3 linked regions of the Callithrix jacchus genome follow. The protein of the gene in region 2 binds, or shares a complex with, the protein of the main gene of each other region. Links are inferred from orthologs where the notes say so. Each region holds a gene or a part of one and is shown on either strand. Other genes may lie near its edges. The genes, in order: RCVRN, GRK1 and RHO.

Region 1 (7,445 bases), on a different chromosome or scaffold from region 2:
AGGGAACGTCTGGGACCCATCCACTCCCCTACTCATTCATGTGCCTACAGCTTCTGATGTAAAGTCAAACAAGAAATGGCCAGTGTCACCAGGAAGCGTGCAGTTTCACGCCTTACCCTAAAAGGTGAGCTGGCAACCTAAAAGGAACTGGGATCTGTCAGTTTGTTCCGGGTCTCAAACTGAGGGCCGCAGGCTGTGTGTGCCATTTGATTTTGCCTGTCCTGTTTCTCAGACAACAATCTAGCCAGACAGTTGTCAGGCCTGGGCTTTCCTTCCTCCTGGCATCCCCATTTAGCAACATGTGACTCCGGACTGGCGACATGCCTTTAGGAGCATCCACGTCTCACCCATCACACTGGCCTGGCCATCTGCAGGCTTGATGCCGACAGGAGTGTGATCCAGGAAGCGCTTCCCTTGGCCTCCCACTTGCAGCTCAGAGCAAAGGGCCGAGGCCTCTGGCCTCACACTCCCTACATCCCCAGAGCTGCCTCAGGGCGGCAAGGAAGCTCTGGAAGTGAATGCGATTCCAAAGTGTGGCTTGGGCTCGCTTGGTTCATTTGTTTTTGAGATTGGTGACCGTCCTATTTCTAACTGCTCTTGAGAATAAATGCACACTGCAGGATGGTGAAAGCCTAGGAGAGAAAGGAGTCCTGTTAAGAAATTATATTTTCTCACAAAGTGATGGGAAACATTAGAAAGTACACACACACACACACACACACACACACCAACATTCAGGTTTCTTGAGAAACTTCTGAAATTGCAGTGAGCAGGGTGGCTGGGAGGGATGAGTCAGTCCCTCAGTGCCTGAATCTCTCATTCCTTCCTGAGCGACATCAGGTGGGCCTGGCAGGTGGCCTTCTCCCAGCAGCAAGGACCTACCTTCTGCTGCCACTAGCCTGTTAGGAAGTAGGCTAAAACCCACACATTACACCTTGAGATTCGAGGCAGGTGGATCATCTGATGTCAGGAGTTCGAGACCAGCCTGACCAATATGGTGAAACCCCGACTCTACTAAAAGAAAAAAAGAAAGAAAAAGAAAAAACTCAGCTGAGCATGGTGGCAGACATCTGTAGTCCCAGCTTCTCTGGGGGCTGATACAGGAGAATTGTTTGAATCCAGGAGGCAGAGGTTGCAGTGAACCAAGATTGTACCACTGCACTCCAGCCTAAACAATGGAGGTAGACTCGATCTAAAAAAAATACACTTTACCTGCCTGAAGACTGAAGGGTTTATTCTTCATGATTCTCACCCCAGGGCAAAAAGTGACAACTCTCCATCCACAGTGGCAAGGCTGGGGTTCTGAGTGTGTCCTGACCGCCCCCATTCCCTCACCCCCTGTGAAGCATTGCTCTCTGCTAAGCAAAGTGCACGCCCACACTCCCTTCCCTCTGGGTGATAAGAATCCAGGTGTGCAGCATCCTCACTGCTCAGTCGGTACTCCCCTGGGATGCGAAGCCTGCCCTCACACACCTCCCTCTCTTGGCCACTCAGGGATTTACCCATTCACTCAGCAAACACATTTTCCTGCCTGCTCACTCCCAGCGCTGTGCTCCGCTGCAGACGGGCATGGAGCCACAGATAGATTGTGTTTAGCCCACACCGTGTTTTTGAAAATTTCCAATCAATTGCCAAAGCTGAAAAGTGTGCAAACTGCATCTAAAACTCTGATTTTTTTATTTCTCTTAAATCATTTAAAAAAAAAAAAATCACGATCCCATGGGACCACATTTGCTGGCAGCCCCTTCTCAAGGCGACACAGGCCTGGCTGCTCCCTGCTGTCCCTCCCACCTGCTGGCCACCCGCCGACAGGGAGTTTACCTTCACTCTCTGTGACCGATGAACAGCAAGAAAACGAGTAAGTGTTTAGCATTAGCTGTGTGCCAGGTTCTATTCTAAGCGTGTCGCACGTATTGACTCACTTCAGCCCCACCATGATGGTGAGGTAGACGCTATGATGCCCATTTATTCAAGAAAGACTTACTGGGGGCCCAAGCTTGTCAGGCACTGTTCTGGCCATGGAAATGCATCTGGGAACAACACAGACAAAATCCCGTCTTTCAGGAGCTTTCATTCTGGTGAGGGGACATGGGGCATGCCAATGATGGTGTGCTGTTATAGATAGAGGGTCAGTATACATAGGCCTAGCCAGGAAGGTGACATTTAAGCAGAAACGTGACTGCAGTGAAGGATTAGAAGATTGTCCCAGGTGGAAAGAGGTTAAGAAACATGCCTGAGGTCACATAGCTAGTTAAGTAGCCAAGCTGGGATTTGAACCAATGTTGGCTCCAGAGCCTGTGCTCCTAACAACTGAATTCTAGGGCTCAGTGGGAGATGCCAGCCCTCCCTGAGACACTCAGAGTTAGTAAGGAAGAGAAACAGGGAACATGGTTGCCTTAGAGCTCTAGTGGTACAAGAGCTCTGAAGGTTCCAACCTCCTGTTTTGTTCTGGTATCCTTCCAGGAGGCCAAGATGAATTGCCTGCCTGCCCTGGGCTCTTTGCTTTAATCTCAATAGCGTTCTGGGAGCATCCCCCCACCGCCCTCCCCACCACCACCACCTCCACAAAGCTCCTGGGCCCCTCCTCCCTTCAAGGATTGGGAAGAACTGGTCTCAAATCCTCCTAAGCCACCAGCATCTCCGTCTTCAGCTCACAGCAGCCCTGAGCCCCAGCCTGCAGCCAGGGCACCACACACGTCCCACCCACCCAGCGACTCCCCAGCTGCTGCCCACTCTTCCTTACCCATGGGGAACAGCAAAAGTGGGGCCCTGTCCAAGGAGATCCTGGAGGAGCTGCAGCTGAACACCAAGTTCTCAGAGGAGGAGCTGTCCACCTGGTACCAGTCCTTCCTGAGAGACTGCCCCAGCGGCCGCATCACCCAGCAGCAGTTCCAGAACATCTACTCCAAGTTCTTCCCCGATGCTGACCCCAAGGCCTACGCCCAGCATGTGTTCCGCAGCTTCGATTCCAACCTCGACGGCACCCTGGACTTCAAGGAGTACATCATCGCCCTGCATATGACCACCGCGGGCAAGACCAACCAGAAGCTGGAGTGGGCCTTCTCCCTCTATGACGTGGATGGCAATGGGACCATCAGCAAGAATGAAGTGCTGGAGATCGTCCTAGTCAGTGTCCCTCTCCCCTTCTGGCTGGGTGGTGCTGGGGTCACTCAGGGCTGGGGAGTCCCCTGCTGCGGCTGCTGCAGTGGGAGTAGAGCTGTGGGTGGAGGGGGGATTCAGGCCACACTGGCTCTGAGAGAGTGGTGCTCCAAGATGCTGATATTGGTAAGAGGGGTGGGCACTTGCCCACAGCTTCATTTTCTTCCTGAAGAAGAATCTGAGTGTTTTCTAATACAGTCCTGTGACGCGTGGCTTAGCCATGTTCAGGTCAACAATAGACCATATATATCATTGTGGTCCCATGAAATCGTAATGGAGCTGAAAAATTCCTATTGTCTAGTGATGTCATAGCAAAGTTACTTGATTTTTCAAATGCATTTAGTGTAGCCTAAGTGTAGAGCATCTAGAAAGTCTGCAGTAGAGTACAGTAATGTCCTGGGTGTTCACATGCACTCCCCACTCACTCACTGACTCACCCAGAGCGACTCCCAATCCTGCAAGCTCCCCTCAAGGTAAGTGCCCTAGACAGGTCTTTATACTGTATTTTTACTGTATGATTTCTATATTTAAATACATTTAGATCCACAAATACTAACCATCATGTGATAACTGCCTGCAGCATTCAGGACAGCCACATGCTGCATGGGTTTGTAGCCTAGGAGCAAAAGGCTGGACCACCGAGTCAGGGGGTGTTGTAGGCTCCACTCTCTGGGTTTGTGTGAGGACGCTGTATGATGTCCCCACCTGGAAACTGCCTAATGATGTGTTTCTCAGAATGTATTCCTGTCTTTGAGTGACACGTGACTATATTTACATTTTTTTTCTCTCTCTCCATCCTTCGTTTCGTCCTTCCTTTATTAAAATGTCCTTTAGGCCAGGCAAGGTGGCTCACGCCTGTAATCCCAGCACTTTGGGAGGCCAAGGTGGGCAGATCACCTAAGGTCAGGAGTTTGAGACCAGCCTGACCAACATGGAAAGACCCCATCTCTACTAAAAATACAAGATTAGCCGTATGTGGTGGTGCATGCCTGTAATCTCAGCTACTCGGGAGGCTGAGGCAGGAGAATCGCTTGAACCCAAGAGGTGGAGGTTGTGGTGAGCTGAGATTGCGCCATTGCACTCCAGCCTGGGCAACAAGAACAAAACTCCATCTCAAACAAAGAAACAAACAAAAAAGTCCTTTAAAATTTTCAGCAGTACACATTCAAGTTGAATCAATGATTAATTCTAAACACACAATATGCTTCAAATATAAAGTCGAAAAAGGTCAAAGTTGAGTAAACTCTGAGTTCTAGTCTTAAGGTTCTCCCCAGCGCCAGGTGGGTCACCGCACCACCCGCACCACCCGCACCACGCATGAGCCCCCGCTTCCCACATGCGGCGGCTCCTTGGCAGGTTCCTTGGCTCCTGGCAGGTTCCCTGTGAGGCACACATGCTTCCACATGGTTCCCAGCACACCTTCTCCATCCATAGTGTCCTCATGTGAGATCCTTTGTTGTGAAAGCAATGGCAAAAACCACAATTACTTTGCACCAACCTAATAGGTGTCTTGAAAATGGTTTATCTGTTAGAAGTAACTGATGAAATTTAAAAGCATAGGCAAAAGAGACTAAAAACTGCCTCTAATTCCAACATCCAGGGAAAACTTTTCTTGCTGTATCAATAGGAACCTTTTCAGTCTTTTATCTATATAATTTTAAACAATGTTAAAGCTATGACATATTCACATATGATTTTTATCATACATTTTCTTTTATCATGAGTGCTTTCCATATCATTACATATTCTTCCAAAACACTTCTTTTTTCTTCAGACAGAGTTTTGCTCTTGTCGCCCAGGCTGGAGTGCAGTGGCATGATCTCAGCTCACTGCAGCCTCTGCCTCACAGGTTCAAGCAATTCTCCTGTCCTGCCTCAGCCTCCCAAGCAGCTGCGATTACTGGCACCTGGCACTACACCCAGCTAATTTCTGTATTTTCAGTAGAGATGGGTTTTTGCCATGTTGGCCAGGCTGGTGTTGAATGCCTGACCTCATATAATACACCCACCTCGGTCTCCCAAAGTGCTGTGATTATAGGCATAAGCCTCCGCACCCAACCTCTTCCAAAACACTTTTAATAGCTGTTTGGAGTTCTAGCTTACGGAAATGTGGAAATTATTTAACATTCCTATGTTTTTGGACATTAGGGTGTTTCCATTTCTTTCCTATTTTACCAGTTCTCATTTCCTTCATTTGATATTTTTTACTTGTTCTTTTTCAGTCCTGCTGCCCCTGCCATTGGTTTATTGTTCTAATTCCATTTCTGTTAGTAGACAGACTGTTTTGTGCATTTTTAATCATGCTTTCATTTGCATGACTGCAAATGCACGAAAATCTTCCACTTTTATTAGGAGAAACCATAAATAAAACAGCAAAGCATACGGCTTGTGGTCCATGGGTTTATGCTCAGTGCTCGGCTCGGGTCTCCTGTTCCGGCAGGTATGTGTCACCCTCATTGCTATCTCAGCACAGCCTGCAGAGGAGCTCCCCAGGATTGGTTGTGGGGTCTCTGGGTGGCCTGGGACAGGGACTAAGTCTTCAGAGATGCATAAAAAATGCGGGGCCTAGCAGAAGCCTACAAATGGATACTCCTTGAAGAAAAGGCGGATGGAGGGAAAGAGGCGGGATAGGAGTCAGGAAGGAAAGAGAGGGAAGCAAGGGGGAGGAAAGAAGGGAGGGAGGAGAAGGAAAGGAGGAGAGAAAAGAAGAAAGAAGAAAGGGAGGGAGGGAGAAGCCATCAGTGGCTGAGGCTGTGCAAGGTGACAGAAGGCTCTGCTATTCACCAGATTACAAGTTCATGGGCAGAGCACTCCGTGGGGGAGTCACAAGTGAAGGATTCTAGCCCCTGCTCTGATTCCAACTAGCTGTGTTGCTGTGGGAAAACCATATAACCTTCCTGGACCCAGGGTGAGGATTTGATTATTTTTGAAGCCTTTTCTAAGACCCTGAAGGTCTGTCCCTCCATGTTGGAAGTGGGGTGGGCAGGCAGTCACTCCCAGCTTCAGCTGGCACACCTGCACATGGTACCCCAGGCCCTGCACAGACCAAGATGAGTGTGGGAGGCACCTACTTGTGTCCACCTCAGGGCTCTGGGTGCTGCCAGCAAGGCTGCTGCCTTGGGCTGCTGCCTTTGGTCTCCCTGCTCCTTTTTCCAGCACCAGGGGGCTGAAGGAGAACTTCTCAAAGCCTTCCCTCAAGAATAATTTCATAGCCATTATTGCCCCTGCCTGACCTGCTCACAGGTGTCTCCAGGGAGACAAAAGGCTCTGGCCAGAGCCAGTAACCTCCCAACTCCCACCCAACATACCTGCCTGTCCTCAGCATCCAAGGACCTACTGCCTTGGGTGTCCCTTCTGGACCTGGCTGGCACTGGTGTTCCTGGGCCAGTGGAATCCTAGAAACTTGGAGCTGGAAGGGTGCTCCTTTGTCCCTGCATCTCACAGGTCTGGGGCACTTCATGCTTCCCCTATACTGCATACCCAGCTGCTTTATTAGGGGGGAGGGAGGTGAGAAGGATGGGATCCTTGATCCCAAAGCTAAGCCTTTCTCTGAATCCCTCCTTGAGCAGAAGGTTAAATGAGGGGCTTCCCGTGCCATAGGAAGACCTTTGAAACGTTCTTGTTGATGCCTTCCTCTCCCTCCCCCAGGCTTGCCCAATGCCCTCCAGGCCCTTCCAGTAATAAGGAGGTGAGTGGGCTATGGCATAACCCAGGGTGTACCAGTTCTAGAACTAAAATGCCTGGGTTCAAATCTCTGCCCTTCTACTTCTAGCTGGGTGACTTCCAGCAAGTTAGTTGTCTCAATTTCTTCTTCCATAAAATGGGACCGATAAAGCCTTCTTCATAAGGTTATTGTGAAGATGAGGTGTAAAAATCTTTAGAAAAGTGATAACTAGGCCAGGCATAGTGGCCCATGCCTATAATCCAAGCACTTTGGGAGGCCAAGGTGAAAGGATCTCTTGTGCTCAGGAGTTTGAGACCAGCCTGGGCAACACAGTGAGACCCCATCTCTACAAAAAAATTCAAAAAATTTGCTGAGCATGGTGGTGTGCACCCGTAGTCCCAGATACTCAGAACACTGAGGTGGGAGGATTGCTTGAGCCCAGCACATCAAGGCTGCAGTGAGCCATGATTGCACCACTGCACTCCAGCCTAGGCAACAAAAAAAACCCTCCCTGTCTCAAAAAAAAAAAAAAAAAAACCAACAAACAAAACAAAACAAAAAAGAAAGAAAAAAGAAAATGAAGAAGAAAAGAAACAAGAAAATAAAAGAGAGTAACACCTATT
Region 2 (7,445 bases):
CAAAAACACGATCCATAATATTTATATTCCACAAAATTTAAAACTTCTGCCCTGTGAAAGCCCATATAGAAAGGAGGCAGAGACAAGCTATCACTGGGAGAGGATATTCGAAAGCCGTGTGTCTGACAAAGGAGTCGTATGTGGTATCGACAGAATCTCAAGTCTCGTGACAGGAAAGCAAAGAATCCAGTTGTGACACAGTCAGAAGACATGAAGAGACCTGTCACCCAAGAGCACGCACAGATGGCCGTCAGCACGAGCAAAGGCGTTCGTCTACCGTTAGGGAAATGTGAATTAAAACCTTATGGAAATACCCCACACCTGCCGGGAGGGTGGCAGCGCTAAACCCTGGGGAGGACCCTGAGGAGGGAGCTGCTCGCCCTCGCTGGTGGGAACGGGAAATGGCTTGGCCACTCCAGAAAAGAGCTTGCAGGTGTCTTCAAAACTAAATGTGCAATTACTGTGTGACCCAGCATTTATCCCAGAGAAATAGAAACGTGTGTCCACACAGAGGCTACACCGATGTCCACAGCAGCTTCATTCACGATAGCTAAACACGGGAAAAGACCCAGGCGTCCTGCAGCCGGTGAACGGAAACAGGCTGCGGCGCCTCTTCCGCGGAGCACAACTCGGAGGTGAGGAGGGAGTGGCTGACACACCCAGGTGTGGGTGTTCCCGTGGACGACTGTGCTGAGTGAAAGATTCGGACCCTAAAAGGCCACATCCTGTCTGACTCCATTCATACAGCGTTCCTGGAGAAGGGGTGGTTGCCGGGTGTTGAGAAGGACAGGCTGGAGGAACATGGGTGCCATTTGTGAGGGGCCCAGGAGGGTCTCATGGATGGAGGCAGCCTTCGTCTAGACCGTATGGATGTCAGTATCCTCGTTACTTGGCAAGATGCCATCACTACGGGAAACGGAGTGAAGGACCTCTCTGGATTGTTTTTTAACACTGCATGTAAATCTATAATTATCACAAAATAGTTTAATTAGAAAGGGATTTCCAGAGCCAAATGAATTTGGGAAACTGTGTACTTCTTTTTTGAGAGCCACGTTCACCCTGAAATCACTAAGTAAGCTCTGTGATGGGCATATTTAACATATTTTTAACTTTGCTTGTTTAACATATTTAACCTGGTTTAACCAAATGCTTCTCAACATGACCACACGTGGAACAGCCTCCAATCCAATGGGAAACTGTCCTCCTCAGACCCTGCATCTCCGCAGCATCCGCATCACCTGCGGACTTCTTTACAGGTGCACGATCTTGGCCTCTTGAAGCAGAGTCTTTATTCTAGCAAAGTCTCTGGGCAATCTGTGTCCGTAGATGTTTGAGGTGTGGCCCAGGACAGGCAGGGAGACATCAGCAGAGGCGACTTCACTTCACAAAGCTCTGCAGTTGCCCTGATGGGTGAGCAGGCAGGAAGGAGTTAAAGTGATCAGCCCAAGGTCACCAAGGTCACCGCTGTGAAGGGCAGGGCTGGGCCCCTGCAGGGCTCCTGGGATATCACTCAGCTCAAATATTTACTCATGATCCACCTGCCAAAGCTCTCTGGAGGCCATAGGGACCTCGCCTCAGCCTCTTTGGTTGCTACAGAGGACCCTGCACCCAGGTGCAGCCCTGGTGCCCTCCCACAGGTGCCTTTTCTCCTTTGTCGAACATGGTGGGCTGGCGGTCTCAACTTCTGCTCGCTCTGCCATTCTTCCTTTCTGGGATCCTTTGCTTTTTCTCTGTGTGAGTTGGACCCAACACCCTGCTCACATCTCCTCATTCTTCTCCAAACCTTATGTAGTACCTACTGTGTGCTGGAATAAGACAGGCAGGGCCATGCCCTCATGAAGCTGACACTCCTATTGGTGCGACCATCTGCAGGTGTGTCACAGGTGTGTCCCAGGTGTGCCACAAGTGTCTCGGGTATGTCCTACCTGTCCCCCAGGTGCATCCCAGGTGTGTCCCAGCTGTCCCCCAGGTATGTCCCAGGGGTGTCTCAGGTGTGTCCCAGCTGTCCCTGTCTGTCCCAGATGTGCCCCAGGTGGGTCCCAGTTGTCTCCCAGATGTCTCAGGTGTGTTCCAGCTGTCCCCCAGATGTGCCCCAGATGTGCCCCAGGTGTGTCCTAGGTATGCCTCAGATGTGTTTCAGGTGTGCCCCAGCTGCCCCAGGTGTGTCCTAGGTGGATTCCAACTGTGCCTCAGCTGCATTTTAGGTGTTTCAGGCATGGCCCAGGTGTGCTCCAGCTGTCTCAAGTGTGCCCCAGGTGTTCCCCAGCTGTGTTCCAGGTGTGTCCCAGGTGGATTCCAGGTGTGCCCCAGCTCTCAGGTGTGTCACAGGTGTGTCCCAGGTGTGCCCAGGTGTCTCAAGTGTGTCCCAGCTGTCCCCAGATGTGCCCCAGGTGTGCCCCAGCAGTCTCAGCTATCTCAGGTGTGCCCAGGTATGCCCCAGGTGTGCCCCAGGTATGTCCCAGGTGTGCCCCAGCTGCCCCAGGTGTGTCCTGGGTGGGTCCCAAGTGTGCTCCAGCTGCATTTTAGGTATTTCAGGTGTTCCTCAGATGTACTCCAGGTGTGTCCCAGGTGTGCCCCAGGTGTGCTCCAGCTGTCTCAGGTGTGCCCAGGTGTTTCCCCAGCTGTGTCCCAGGTGTGTCTTGGGTGGATTCCAGCTGTACCCCAGCTGTGTCCCGGGTGTGCCCCAGCTGTATTCCACATGTGCCCTTCTGAGTGGAGCCTTGGTTTGGTGTAGCTCTGGGGATCTTCTGCTCCCTGGTGCTGGTGTCACCTGCAACTATCTCTGGGCAATACTGCCTTGCCTGCAAATGCCAGGTGAGTAGAAGAAAAGTGACGGGAGTTGAACCCTCCATAAGAGCTGGTGTCCCCACAGAAAGCTGTTCCCCCCAGGAAGCTTTTCACTGTGGGCTTGTTTCCTCTCTAAATTCCTATTATCAGGTGGTTTTCTTCTCACTTGCTATTTTCTTAAAAATAAAAATGAAATAGAGCAGGGAAAACAGCCTTCATAAATTAAGGTTTCTTCTCGTACCACACTCTCCTGTCCGGCCCCTTGGGAGTGGCTGCGGCAGTTCAGAACACAGCTTTGAGTGCCTCTCCAGCCCGGGGCCCCAGAAGCCTGGGGGTTGTTTGTTCTCAGGGGAAAAGCCACGCGGCCCCTCGGAGGAAGGGGCTGGGCAGAATGTCTAATCGGATTCCAAGCGGCTCAGGGGATTGTCTTTTTCTAGCACCTTCTTGCCTCTCCTAAGCGTCCTCAGTGACCCCAACTGGGATTTAGCCTGGTGCAGTGTCAGCTCTGGGCTCCCAGGGGCTCCCCAGTGGTCCCCAGGCACCCTTGGCACGGCCAGGGCATCTCCCTCGTCCAGCAAGGGCAGGGGCGGGCCACAGGCCAAGGGGAGCAGTCAGGCCTGCTCTGGCTGTGAGTGCCGCAGGCTTGGCCTCGGCCAATGGGCCCTCACGCCTGAGGCGGGCAGGAAGCCAGCTCCGGGATGGATTTCGGGTCCCTGGAGACTGTGGTGGCCAACTCTGCGTTCATCGCCGCCCGAGGCAGCTTTGACGGGAGCAGCTCCCAGTCCTCCCGGGACAAGAAGTACCTGGCCAAGCTCAAGCTGCCCCCGCTGTCCAAGTGTGAGTCCCTCCGCAGCAGCCTCAGCCTGGAGTTCGAGAGCGTGTGCGTGCAGCAGCCCATCGGCAAGAAGCTCTTCTGGCAGTTCCTGCAGTCGGGGGAGAAGCACCTGCCGGCCCTGGAGCTCTGGAAAGACATCGAGGACTACGACACAGTGGACAACGACCTCCGGCCGCAGAAGGCCAAGACCATACTGGCCCAGTACCTGGACCCTCAGGCCAAGCTCTTCTGCAGCTTCCTGGATGAGGGGTCGGTGACCAAGTGTAAGGAAGGGTCTGTGGAGAGCCAAGACAGGCTCTTCCAGCCTGTGCTACAGGCCACCCTGGCACACCTGAGCCAAGCCCCCTTCCAGGAGTACCTGGACAGCCTGCACTTCCTGAGGTTCCTGCAGTGGAAGTGGCTGGAAGCCCAGCCCATGGGGGAGGACTGGTTCCTGGACTTCAGGGTCCTGGGGAAAGGCGGCTTCGGGGAGGTGTCGGCCTGCCAGATGAAGGCCACCGGCAAGCTGTACGCCTGCAAGAAGCTGAACAAAAAGCGGCTGAAGAAGAGGAAGGGCTACCAGGTGAGCCGCACGGCCCAGCTGGCATGGGTGGGAGCAGGGTGGAGAGGGCCCAGGTCGCCCTCAGCGACCGGAGGAGGAAGGGCTACCAGGTGAGCCGCACGGCCCAGCTGGCAGGGGTGGGAGCAGGGTGGAGAGGGCCCAGGTCGTCCTCAGCGGCCCGAGGAGGAAGGGCTACCAGGTGAGACGCACGGCCCAGCTGGCAGGGGTGGGAGCAGGGTGGAGAGGGCCCAGGTCGCCCTCAGCGGCCGGAGGAGGAAGGGCTACCGGGTGAGCCGCATGGCCTAGCTGGCAGGGGTGGGCGCAGGGTGGAGAGGGCCCAGGTCGCCCTCAGCGGCCGGAGGAGGAAGGGCTACCAGGTGAGCCGCACGGCCCAGCTGGCAGGGGTGGGAGCAGGGTGGAGAGGGCCCCCAGGTCGCCCTCAGCAGCTGGTGCCTAAGGCACGCCAGCCTCGACACTGGGATCCCTGTGACCATGCGCTCACAGGCAGTTAGCATCCGTCTCCCTTGGAGAGTGGCTTCCACGTTTTTGGGTGGGGATGTGTCACGTTCAGTTGTCAGTTTTTCACCAGTCACAGAATAGATGGAAAGAGGGCCTCGCAGAGGAGGCTGTGGACGGCGGGGGTCTCCGGATTCTTTGTCCTGACTGCGGAAGACTTTCTGTCCCTGGCTCTGATCATAGCAGAGAATGCAGGAGGAACTGAGGCAGGATGGAGGCGGAGGCAGCCTCGCTCTGATGACTCGTTTGTGTGAGACGGACGGAGCCTGGTGTGATGCCAGGTGCAGGGACTGTTTCCCCGAGTGTGGCTGTTCTCTGGGGTGGGAGTGAGTGACAGGCATGCCGGTGGTGCTGAGTTTCATCCGCTCTGCCCCGCTGGCGTCAGACTGTGCATCTGGGCCAGGATCAGCAGAAGCTGCTTACAGGTCTTAAGGGCAAGATGCAGTGGCCGTGCCGGGCGTGGATGTGATCTCCTGAGCCAGCCCCCTGCACTTCGGCTCCACGAGGCTCCTGGCCTCTCTCCTACCGCGCAGCCATGTTGAGGGCACGGGAAGCTCTCAGGGCAAAGCAGCAGCTGCTGTGCACCCTGGCTCTGCAGGCCCTCAGCCCTGAGTGAAGGCAAAATATCAGGTGCTCGTGGCGCTGGGCAGAGGCCCCGGAACACCTGGGTGTTCTCACCGTGGAACTCAGGGGGAGTAGCCGTGCCGTGTGCTTGTAGCAGTGATTCTAAAAATGAGCTTTCTTGACATCTGATTCTCACACCATGCCATTCACATCTACCTGTCAGTTTAACCCAACAATTAGCCTCTTCTCCTGACTTCGGTCACCTGACTGAACTTCATACTGAGACCAACTGAACACCTCCCCATGAAGTGCAGACAGAGGGGCCTCCTCCTCTAGCCGCAATTCCTTCTTCAAAGAGGGGTGTGCTGTCCTGACCCACACACTTATAGGTTGAGCATCAACCTGTAAGTTGGAGCATCGTGAGGTCTCACAGACAAAATAAAGCAGAGTCGTGAGGAGGTTTGGGAGGCGCTGGGCTGTGAGCCCAGCCCCCGGGGCCAGGACGAGAGGGGGCTGTGGCTGCAGGACTGCTGGGCAGGCCAGGCTGCTGGCGTCCTCATCCGTGTTGCTCAGCCTTGGGCTCGAGCCTCACCTTGCCGGAGGCTGGCCCAGAAGGCCAGAAGCCCCTGTATGTGAAGGATTTCACATGTGTGATTTTCTGATATAGGGGTGCGGGCATGTTTTGAAGTCCTTTGCAATTGCTTTGTGAAAGCTGCATTTAAAGTGTGTTTGCAACTCTGTTTAGTGGCTGTGGGTGCAGTGGGCATGGCCGTGTGCACACGGTCTCTGCGATGCCCTGGCCCCTTTCCTGTTCAAAGCCAGCACTGATGCAACATCTCACTTTTCAGGGTGCTATGGTGGAGAAGAAGATTCTGATGAAGGTGCACAACAGGTTCATCGTGTCTCTGGCATACGCATTTGAAACCAAAGCCGACCTCTGTCTAGTGATGACCATCATGAACGGAGGCGACCTCAGGTAAGGGCTGGTCAGGAAGGTGCCAGGGGACCTGCTTTCCCACTGTGTCAGGGTTTCCAGGGTCTGATGGGGCTGCTTCCCATGTGCAGAGCCATGGCAGCCAAGCCCTGCCCTCAAGGGAAAGCCTTGCCCCCATCACAGTCCCCTTCTCACTGTCTGCAGGCGCTGGTCCCTGAAACAATGCACCTCGGACCCACGTCAGTGCAGGAGCCCGGGAGGTGCCCAACCTGCCAGTCAGGGCACATCCTGTGTGCACCCTGGTGTGTGGGGGGCAGGTGGTGCCTCAGGGGACAAATGATGCAGTGGGGGGGCCTCTGCAGGGCTGGGGGCCTTGCACCAGGAGGGTAAATGAAGATGGACTTCACCAGCACCCACTCGTAGGGCTGACGCCGGAGCTGGAGACAAGACCAATTGGGGGCCGTGGCTTTGCTGTGCCCTGGCAGAGAGGAGGTGCCACTGCCTCCACAAAGTCCTGGCCCCAGATCTGCCTCTGAGGCAGGCCCCAGGCCCGGGTGGGAGATCAGATCTCAGGCTCGCAGTGGGGCAGAGACCTGCTTGGTACCTGGCCCTTGGCCACTGCTTGCTCTGTTTTCTGGTCTGTACGGTGGGGAGAGATAATACTTATGTTCAAAGATTGTTGGAAGATTCAGACAACGTGTGTGAAATACCCAGAGTGTCTGGTACCTGTAAGGGGGGGCTGGGCCATGGCTGTGGTTGGCAGCACTGTGCCCCATTCTCACCTGCTTTTAATTTCCAAGGAAACTACTCCAGGTGAGGCTGGCAGCCCCATTGTTCAGATGAGGAATGTGAGTCCAGACTAAGTCACCACACAAGGCACCTAGAGAGAGGAGGGGAGGGGAGAGGGCCCTGGGAAGGGGAGTCACAGGGGTGCCCAGGTGGAGGGGAGGGGAGAGGGCCCTGGGAAGGGGAGTCACAGGGGTGCCCAGGTGGAGGGGAGGAGAGGTGGCACTGCAAAGCAGGCACAGGTGTGCCCAGGTGGAGGGGAGGGGAGAGGGCCCTGGGAAGGGGAGTCACAGGGGTGCTCAGGCGGAGGGGAGAGGGCACTGTGAAGCAGACACAGGGGTGCCCAGGCAGAGGGGAGGGGACGCTGGGAAGGGGAGTCACAGGGGTGCCCAGGGTTTTGCTTGTTAGGTTTTGCTTCTCTGCAGAACCTGTCAGTGGAAAACATAAAACTGATGTGTTTCGGGGTAAGGAAGAGGCTGAGA
Region 3 (7,445 bases), on a different chromosome or scaffold from region 2:
CATCAGGTCCATTCCCCCACTCACTCCCTCATTCAACAAATATTCAGGGAGCACCTTCTAGGTGCCAGGCTCTGGAGGCATGTCAGTGAACAAAACAGCCAACATCCCACCTCTTTCCACCACAGGCCAGGTGCCATGCTGGGCTCTGGGAACCCTGTTGTGAACAAGACAGACCCAGGCCCACCCTTGTGGACTCACGTTGCAGGCAGGGAGACCGGCACAAAACTCATGCACAGAACACAAAAGGCTTCATGCTGTCAGAAGCACCAGGCAACAGGCAAGGCGCCAAGGTGCTGCTAAGCTGTGTAGGGCAGGGGCTCAGCCCTTCCAGGGAGGGGCCGGGTGTGGGTCAGTCTTGACCCAAGGCATCCAGGACACCCTCCTTCTGGCCATGAGGGTCCACATCAGAATCAAACTCCCACCTTAACCTCATTAGCGTTGGGCATAATCACCAGGCCAAACACCTTAAACTCCAGGAGGTCCCATCCCACCCGCCCTGCCTCAGCACTGCCACGTGTGCCAAGCCCTGTTAGACCCAACACTGCCCAGGCCAGGCAGGGGGCTAGAGCCCAGGTGGGCTGCAGGGAAGGGGGCACCCTTCTGAACAGACAGATCTAGGAATCCTGGGTGAGAGAGAGATTAAGGGACACTTTCCTGGCCTCAGGGCTCTGCACTCGCAGGGGTCCCTCTGCCCGGATGACCTTCCCCTGAAGCTTCCGCCTGTTGTTCCGGCTCTCCACTCAAGCTCCAGCTTCTCAGAGAAGCCTCCTGTGTTGGGAGTGGCTGTGACTGAACTGTCCTCACTCTTACTCGCTCCATTATTCTTTTGTGGTCCCTGTGTCCCCACCCCCACAGAAACACTGGCTTCTTATGGGGAAGGGAGCTTGCTCTTTTGTGTCCCCCGAGTGGAGACTCAGGGGGGACACAAGCACCTTGTCTGGGCCACAGTAGGTGCTCAGTACACATGCTGGCTGGACGGTGGTCACTGAGTGTTCGAACATCAGGCACTCTCAGCACCTGCACAGGCCACCCTGGCCACCCCACTTCATTCCTAGGAGGTGACATCGTGTTCCTTGGATAGCTTGAAGAGGGAGATCTACCTCCATTTGCCCCCAGGCCATCTGCCCCCAAGGCTCTGACTACTTTCTTTCCCACAGTGCATCCTGCTGTCCTGGAACCAGCCCTCATGGGGCCACCTGGCACATGGCATCTGAGACCCTCGTGGTTGACCAGACCTTCCCTAACAGGACCCTGTCTGCTGCCTCCAGGATGGGCCTCCCCTTCAGACTGGAGTCCCTGAGGGGCTCTGTCTCTCCCCTGCTCTGGTAGCCCCCTCCATCCTCCCTCCCTCCACTTTAGCTTTGGAGACATTTGAGTCACCTTTCTACCCCAGAGATCTGCCCAAGCCACTGCCCACTTCCCTCTGGATAAAGCCATGTTACTCGACTTGCTGTTCAAGACCCATCACAACTGCCCCCAGCCCGGGTCTTCCTCACCCGGCCACCTGGCAAACTGCTCCTTCTCCCAAAGGCCCAAACATGGCCTCCTGGGCTGCATTCCCCCAGGCAGTCAGACCCATCTCCACAACCTCACAGACACCCTGGGCGGAATCTGCTTCTTCCCAGTTCTGAGTCCTCCTCAGCCCCTGAGCTACTCTGGGCAGGTCTGTTTCTTTTCCATCTTTGTATTCCCAGGGGCCCACAGATAAATGTTTAATGAACAAACTCACAGAGTGAATTCCAATTCCATGCAACAATGATTGGGCTTCTGGGCCCCAGGCCATCTGTCTGGCACCAGGAACGGAAGCTGGAAGATGCAACCCCTGCCCTCGTGGAGCTCCTCTTGCAGGAGGAGTGTGGGGACTGGATGTGCCCAGAGGGAACAAACAGGTTAGGGGCTGTATAACGAGATGAGAGACTGGGAGAATAAACCCAAGAGCCTCTAGCTGTCCAGAAACTCTCAGTCCAGTCCAGACAAAGATCCGAAGTCAGCTCATATTAAGCCAGGAAAAATGGCACAGAGGCCCATGGTCCCCATTTCAGACCAAGGCCACCAGACTGAGTTGGGACCTTGGGACAGACAAGTCACATAGAAGTTAGGGGCCTTCTCCTCCCTTGCCCAAGGTCCTGAGTACCTCCCCTCCCTGACCTCAGGCTTCCTCCTGGTGTCACCTTGGACCTCTGGGAAGCCAATTAGGCCCTCCATTTCTGCAGCGGGGATTAATATGATTATGAACACCCCAATCTCTCAGATGCTGATTCAGCCAGGAGCTTAGGAGGGGGAGGTCACTTTATAAGGGTCTGCGGGGGGTGGGGGGGGTCAGAGCCCGGAGTCATCCAGCCGGAGCCCTGAGTGGCTGAGCTCAGGCCTTTGCAGCATTCTTGGGTGGGAGCAGCCGTGGGGCAACCACAAGGGCCACAGTCATGAATGGCACTGAAGGCCCTAACTTCTACGTGCCCTTCTCCAACGCGACGGGCGTGGTGCGCAGCCCCTTCGAGTACCCTCAGTACTACCTGGCAGAGCCATGGCAGTTCTCCATGCTGGCCGCCTACATGTTCCTGCTGATTGTGCTGGGCTTCCCCATCAACTTCCTCACGCTCTACGTCACCGTCCAGCACAAGAAGCTGCGCACGCCTCTCAACTACATCCTGCTCAACCTGGCCGTGGCTGACCTCTTCATGGTCTTCGGTGGCTTCACCACCACTCTCTACACCTCTCTGCATGGATACTTCATCTTCGGGCCCACAGGATGCAATGCGGAGGGCTTCTTTGCCACCCTGGGCGGTATGAGCCGGGTGCGGGTGGGGTGTGCAGGAGCCCGGGAGCATGGAGGGGTCTGGGACAGTCCCAGGCTTGGCGGTGGTGGCTGAGAGGACTTCTCTCTTCTCCTCTCCTGTCAGCATTATCTGAAGCCCTCATATATTCAGTCAACAAACACCGTTTCGTGGTGATATCTGGGCAATTTGTGCAGGGCTGGCACTGAACACTGCCTTGATCTTATTTGGAGCAAGGCGCTCGTCTCATTTCACAGCAAGGAAACTGAGCTGAGGCTCAAAGAAGTCGAGCGCCCTGCTGGGGGTCACACAGGGATGGAGCTGAGTTTGAAGCTCGCATCTGTGTTGCTCCTTGGGCCATGTTCGGAACACCAAGCCTCTGTTTCCCTCGGAGCAGCTGGGCTGGGTCAGACCCAGGCTGGGCACCAAGGGGAGAGCTGGGCAAGCCAGACACCTCCTTTCTGGGGGCCCCAGCCCGGGGCAGGAAGCGGATTCTCCATCCTCCGGTCATTGGGTCTTCCCTGTGCTGGGCGTTGGGCCGGTCCCCTCTGGCATCCTCTGCCTCTCCTCCCAGCCTCCTGTCCTTGGGTGCCCCTCCAGCCTCCCTGCCGTGCTCCTGGGCTCCTGGTGTTAAGAGCTGCACGCCGCCCCTCTGAAGCAACTCCTTTCACAGGTGATATGTGGCTGTGAAAGATGCTTTAGAATAATGTTTTGCTTTTAACAGGAAAATAAACGGGGGTGCTGCAGAGATAACAGATCTCACTTAACAGAGGGGAAAACTGAGGCAGGAGAGGGGAAGAGACTAATTTTGGGATGTGGCTGGGCAGCAGCAAGAGCCTAGGTCTTGGCACTGATCCAGGAATGTGTCCGCTGAGATGCAGGAGGAGACACTCATGGCAGCCATTGCAAAGCCAGGGTGACAGGGAGAGCTTAGCGCCAGCCACAAGCGTGGCTCTGCCAGCCTTGCCCCCTGGCCCCATGTCCAGGCAGCATCCTTGGCCCCACTCTCAGGGACTCTCTGGCCATTGTTGGGTGTTTAGTACATTCAATAATCAGAGATCGCCCAGTTCTGGCCAGAAGGTGGGGGTGCCACAAAGGGTGATTTTCCTCTGCAGGGTCAGTCCCAGTTTATAATTATCGTCCCATTCACTGTCAGGAGTGGTTGGTAAACTATATGGCCACTCTCCCTGTGGAACTTCGTGGGGTGGTGAGCAGGGCAGATGTCTGAATGCCATCGTTTCCTTCTTCTTCCTCTGTGCAAAACATTGCCTGATGCTTCATGGTTCCTAGGAGAGGGTCCCACATGCCCTGCATTATTTCATCTCCCGAGAGGGGAGAGGGAGGAAGGACCCCAACTCTGGGTTTCAGCCACCTCTGCATTCCTTCCCAACAAGGAACTCTGCCTCACACTTAAATGCATTCTTCTGTTAAAACACACACACACACACACACACACACACACACACACACACACCCCACCCTACCGGGTTCCCAGTCCAGTCATGACCTACTGATCTGATTCGTGTCTCTCATGCATCCAGAGCTCTAAGCAAATAACTTCCCCCATTCACTGAGTTTCTTTGCCCAGCTCCCCTCAGTGTGGGGTCCCTCTGCCCCTTCCTCCTCCTCCCAGTATCAAGCTCTCTCCTTCCTCAAGGGCTCTTCAGGGCCCTCTCTCGCTCCAGGTTGCTTTCCTAGCTACCCTCTCCTTGTCTAGGGGTAGTGCGCCCTCCTTAGACAGGCAGTGGGGTCAATGCTGACCGCCTGCTGGCTGCCTTGCAGGTGAAATTGCCCTGTGGTCCTTGGTGGTCCTGGCCATCGAGCGGTATGTGGTGGTGTGTAAGCCCATGAGCAACTTCCGCTTCGGGGAGAACCATGCCATCATGGGCGTTGCCTTCACCTGGGTCATGGCCCTGGCCTGCGCCGCACCGCCCCTCGCCGGCTGGTCCAGGTAATGGCATTGGGCAGAAGGGAAGGGGCTCCAGGGGCTCTCTGTAGGGTCCTCCAGTCAGGACTCAAACACAGTGCTGTCTGGTTCCAGACACTGACCTTGTAATGTCTTCTGGCCCAAATGCCCACCCAGGGTAGGGTGTAGGACAGAAGGAGGAACAGACTCTAAAGCTGCTGAAGGGCTGGTCCCACCTCCTGAGCTCCAAGTCAAAGAGAATCCAAGACATCCCAAGCCTTCACCTTGGCTGTGCCCCTAATCCTCAGCTAAGCCAGGCGCAAATTCCAATCCTCTTTGGTCTAGTGCCCCGGGAGCAGCCCCCTCTAACCTTGGGCCTCAGCAGTGGGGGAGGCCACGCCTTCCTAGTGCAGGTGGCCATATTGTGGCCCCTGGGAACTGGGTCCCATTTGGCCTCTAGGCAATTCCAAATGGGGCTGAGATGAGACACAGCGGGGACGGTGGTTTGGACATCAGGACTGGTGACTGGTCCCCAGAGGCCTCGTGTCCCTCTGCCTCCAGAAAATTCCCACTCTCACTTCCCTTTTCTCCTCAGACTGGCTAGGGTCCATTTCTTACCCCTTGCTGAATCTCAGCCCACCCCCTGGACTTTTTCCCCATCTTCTCCAGTCTGGCCTAGTTCCATCCTCTGGAATCACAGCCATTGGACGCTCTGGGTTTCCTGAGGCCATTTCACTGCCACCAACATCAGGAACCATTGCCACGTCCTAACCATGTGCCCTGGGAGCCTCTTGTTTCCAGAAGCTGCACAGAGATCCCTTAGATACCCTGTGTGTCTGTCTTTGGCCTGGAAAATACTCTCACCCTGGTGCTAGTTTGTACAAACTGCCGCAAATACAGAGCCTGAGGGCTCTCCCCTCGTCCTCACCAACCTCTGCCTGGCATAGCCTGAGGCTCAGCAGGCAGCGGATGCTGAGGCAGGGCACGCAGGGAGAGGCTAGGTCATGTCATCTGGTACCGCAGCCACCAAACAATGAAGCGACACTGATTCCACAAGGTGCATCTGCATCCCCACCGGATGCAGTCCATCCTGTCACCCAGCCACGCAGACCTTTATGATCCCCTTTCCAGGGAGGGAACAGGAAGCCCCAGAGAGGGCCAGTGCTTGGCAGGCACCTTGGCCGGGGCCATTCCCAAGTCCCTCACAGGCAAGGTCTCCCTACCTGCCTGTCTCAGGTACATCCCTGAGGGCCTGCAGTGCTCATGTGGAATCGACTACTACACGCTCAAGCCGGAGGTCAACAACGAGTCCTTTGTCATCTACATGTTCGTGGTCCACTTCACCATCCCCATGATTGTCATCTTCTTCTGCTATGGGCAGCTTGTCTTCACCGTCAAGGAGGTACGGGCTGGGGGTGGGTGGCCTCTGAGCGTCCAGCCCCCAACGCACATCTACAGCTCCTGCTCCTCGGAGGAGCCATGGTCTGGACCCGGGTCCCGTGTCCCTGCAGGCCGCCGCCCAGCAGCAGGAGTCGGCCACCACACAGAAGGCGGAGAAGGAGGTCACCCGGATGGTCATCATCATGGTCATCGCTTTCCTGATCTGCTGGGTGCCCTATGCCAGCGTGGCATTCTACATCTTCACACACCAGGGCTCCAACTTCGGTCCCATCTTCATGACCATCCCAGCGTTCTTCGCCAAGAGCGCCGCCATCTACAACCCTGTCATCTATATCATGATGAACAAGCAGGTGCCTACTGCGGGTGGGAGGGCCCCAGTGCCCCAGGCCACGGGCACTGCCTGCTAAGGATAAGCTATGTGCCAGGGCAGGGGAGGGGGCTCCATCAGGGCTACTGGCAGTGGGGCTCACGGGTCAGCAGTGTCAATGGGGAGCGTGTGAGAAATGCAGGTTCCTGGACCCCACCCAGACCTGCTGAATCTCAGGGTGGGCCCAGGAACCTGCATCACCAGCAAGCCCTCCAGGTGCCTCGGATCCTCACTCAGGTGTCAGAAGCTCCAGTCCAGATGGTTCTGGAAGCCTGATGTCAACGTCAGCAGGTCCCAGGCCGAGAATGGGATGGGCCAGTCTCCATAAAGCTGAATAAGGAGCTAAAAAATCTTATTCTGAAGGGTAAAGGGATAAGGCAGTCCCATAACAAAGAGCAAGTGGTTTCCCCGAGGAACCCAGAAGGGGGGAAACAGTCTCTGAAGTCAGCTCTGCCATTTTCCAGCTTGTGGCGCTGGGCAAGTCAGTTCCCCTCTCTGGGCCTTGGTTTCCTCATCCATAGAAAGGGCAAAACACCAAACTCTCAGATTACAGGAGAGAATTTGCAGCACACCCTTGGCACGCAGAGGGCACCATGAAATGTTGAGGGTGATGCAGTCCCCTATTGCTCGGTCCCTGGCATCTCTACGGGTGGGGAGTGTCTGCTTAGCAAGTTCCCTCCAGGAGGCCGGATTTGAGTGGAACTGTGAGGGGCACAAGCCGGGAAAGGGTTGGGGCAAACCTCACCAACGTGCCAGTTCCAAGCGCACTGTGGGCAGCCCCGGTCCTAACTCAGGCCTCTTGCCTTTCAGTTCCGGAACTGCATGCTCACCACCATCTGCTGCGGCAAGAACCCACTGGGTGACGATGAGGCCTCCGCCACCGTGTCCAAGACGGAGACCAGCCAGGTGGCCCCGGCCTAAGACCTGCCAAGGACTCTGTGGCTGACCGTAGGCGTCTCCCATCCCCCACACTCTCCCCCAGCCACAGCCATCCCAC

The links.
Region 1: the proteins of GRK1 (region 2) and RCVRN are in contact, whole or in part, in an NMR structure (PDB 2I94), measured with the Bos taurus proteins. The link is inferred for Callithrix jacchus from reciprocal best matches to the Homo sapiens genes GRK1 and RCVRN. Residues at the interface, in NP_776598.1 of Bos taurus: Phe3, Gly4, Leu6, Glu7, Val9, Val10, Ala11, Asn12, Ser13, Ala14, Phe15, Ile16; in NP_776590.1 of Bos taurus: Lys22, Trp31, Ser34, Phe35, Glu38, Cys39, Phe49, Ile52, Tyr53, Lys55, Phe56, Phe57, Tyr86, Leu90, Thr93, Ser94, Phe188, Glu189.
Region 3: the proteins of GRK1 (region 2) and RHO are in contact, whole or in part, in a cryo-EM structure (PDB 7MT8), measured with the Bos taurus proteins. The link is inferred for Callithrix jacchus from reciprocal best matches to the Homo sapiens genes GRK1 and RHO. Residues at the interface, in NP_776598.1 of Bos taurus: Leu6, Glu7, Thr8, Val9, Val10, Ser13, Ala14, Ile16, Ala17, Ala18, Arg19, Gly20, Asp23, Ala24, Glu184, Asp185, Trp186, Phe187, Leu188, Asp189, Phe190, Val192, Arg195, Glu200, Gln205, Met206, Lys207, Lys221, Arg222, Thr256; in NP_001014890.1 of Bos taurus: Lys66, Lys67, Arg69, Thr70, Arg135, Val137, Val138, Val139, Lys141, Ser144, Asn145, Phe146, Arg147, Phe148, Glu150, His152, Leu226, Thr229, Val230, Ala233, Gln236, Gln237, Glu239, Thr243, Ala246, Val250, Met257, Ile305, Tyr306, Met309.

What each region holds. Positions count from the first base shown.
Region 1 is NC_133506.1:76,360,241-76,367,685, reverse strand, and holds the start of RCVRN (recoverin), read left to right. Parts: upstream 1-2,653; 5' UTR 2,654-2,745; coding exon 2,746-3,126; intron 3,127-7,445. UniProt on the Homo sapiens protein: Acts as a calcium sensor and regulates phototransduction of cone and rod photoreceptor cells. Modulates light sensitivity of cone photoreceptor in dark and dim conditions.
Region 2 is NC_133502.1:29,135,553-29,142,997, forward strand, and holds the start of GRK1 (rhodopsin kinase GRK1), read left to right. Parts: upstream 1-3,313; 5' UTR 3,314-3,485; coding exon 3,486-4,184; intron 4,185-6,091; coding exon 6,092-6,219; intron 6,220-7,445. UniProt on the Homo sapiens protein: Retina-specific kinase involved in the signal turnoff via phosphorylation of rhodopsin (RHO), the G protein- coupled receptor that initiates the phototransduction cascade.
Region 3 is NC_133516.1:72,617,928-72,625,372, reverse strand, and holds the start of RHO (rhodopsin), read left to right. Parts: upstream 1-2,321; 5' UTR 2,322-2,423; coding exon 2,424-2,784; intron 2,785-4,556; coding exon 4,557-4,725; intron 4,726-5,916; coding exon 5,917-6,082; intron 6,083-6,191; coding exon 6,192-6,431; intron 6,432-7,258; coding exon 7,259-7,369; 3' UTR 7,370-7,445. UniProt on the Homo sapiens protein: Photoreceptor required for image-forming vision at low light intensity. Required for photoreceptor cell viability after birth.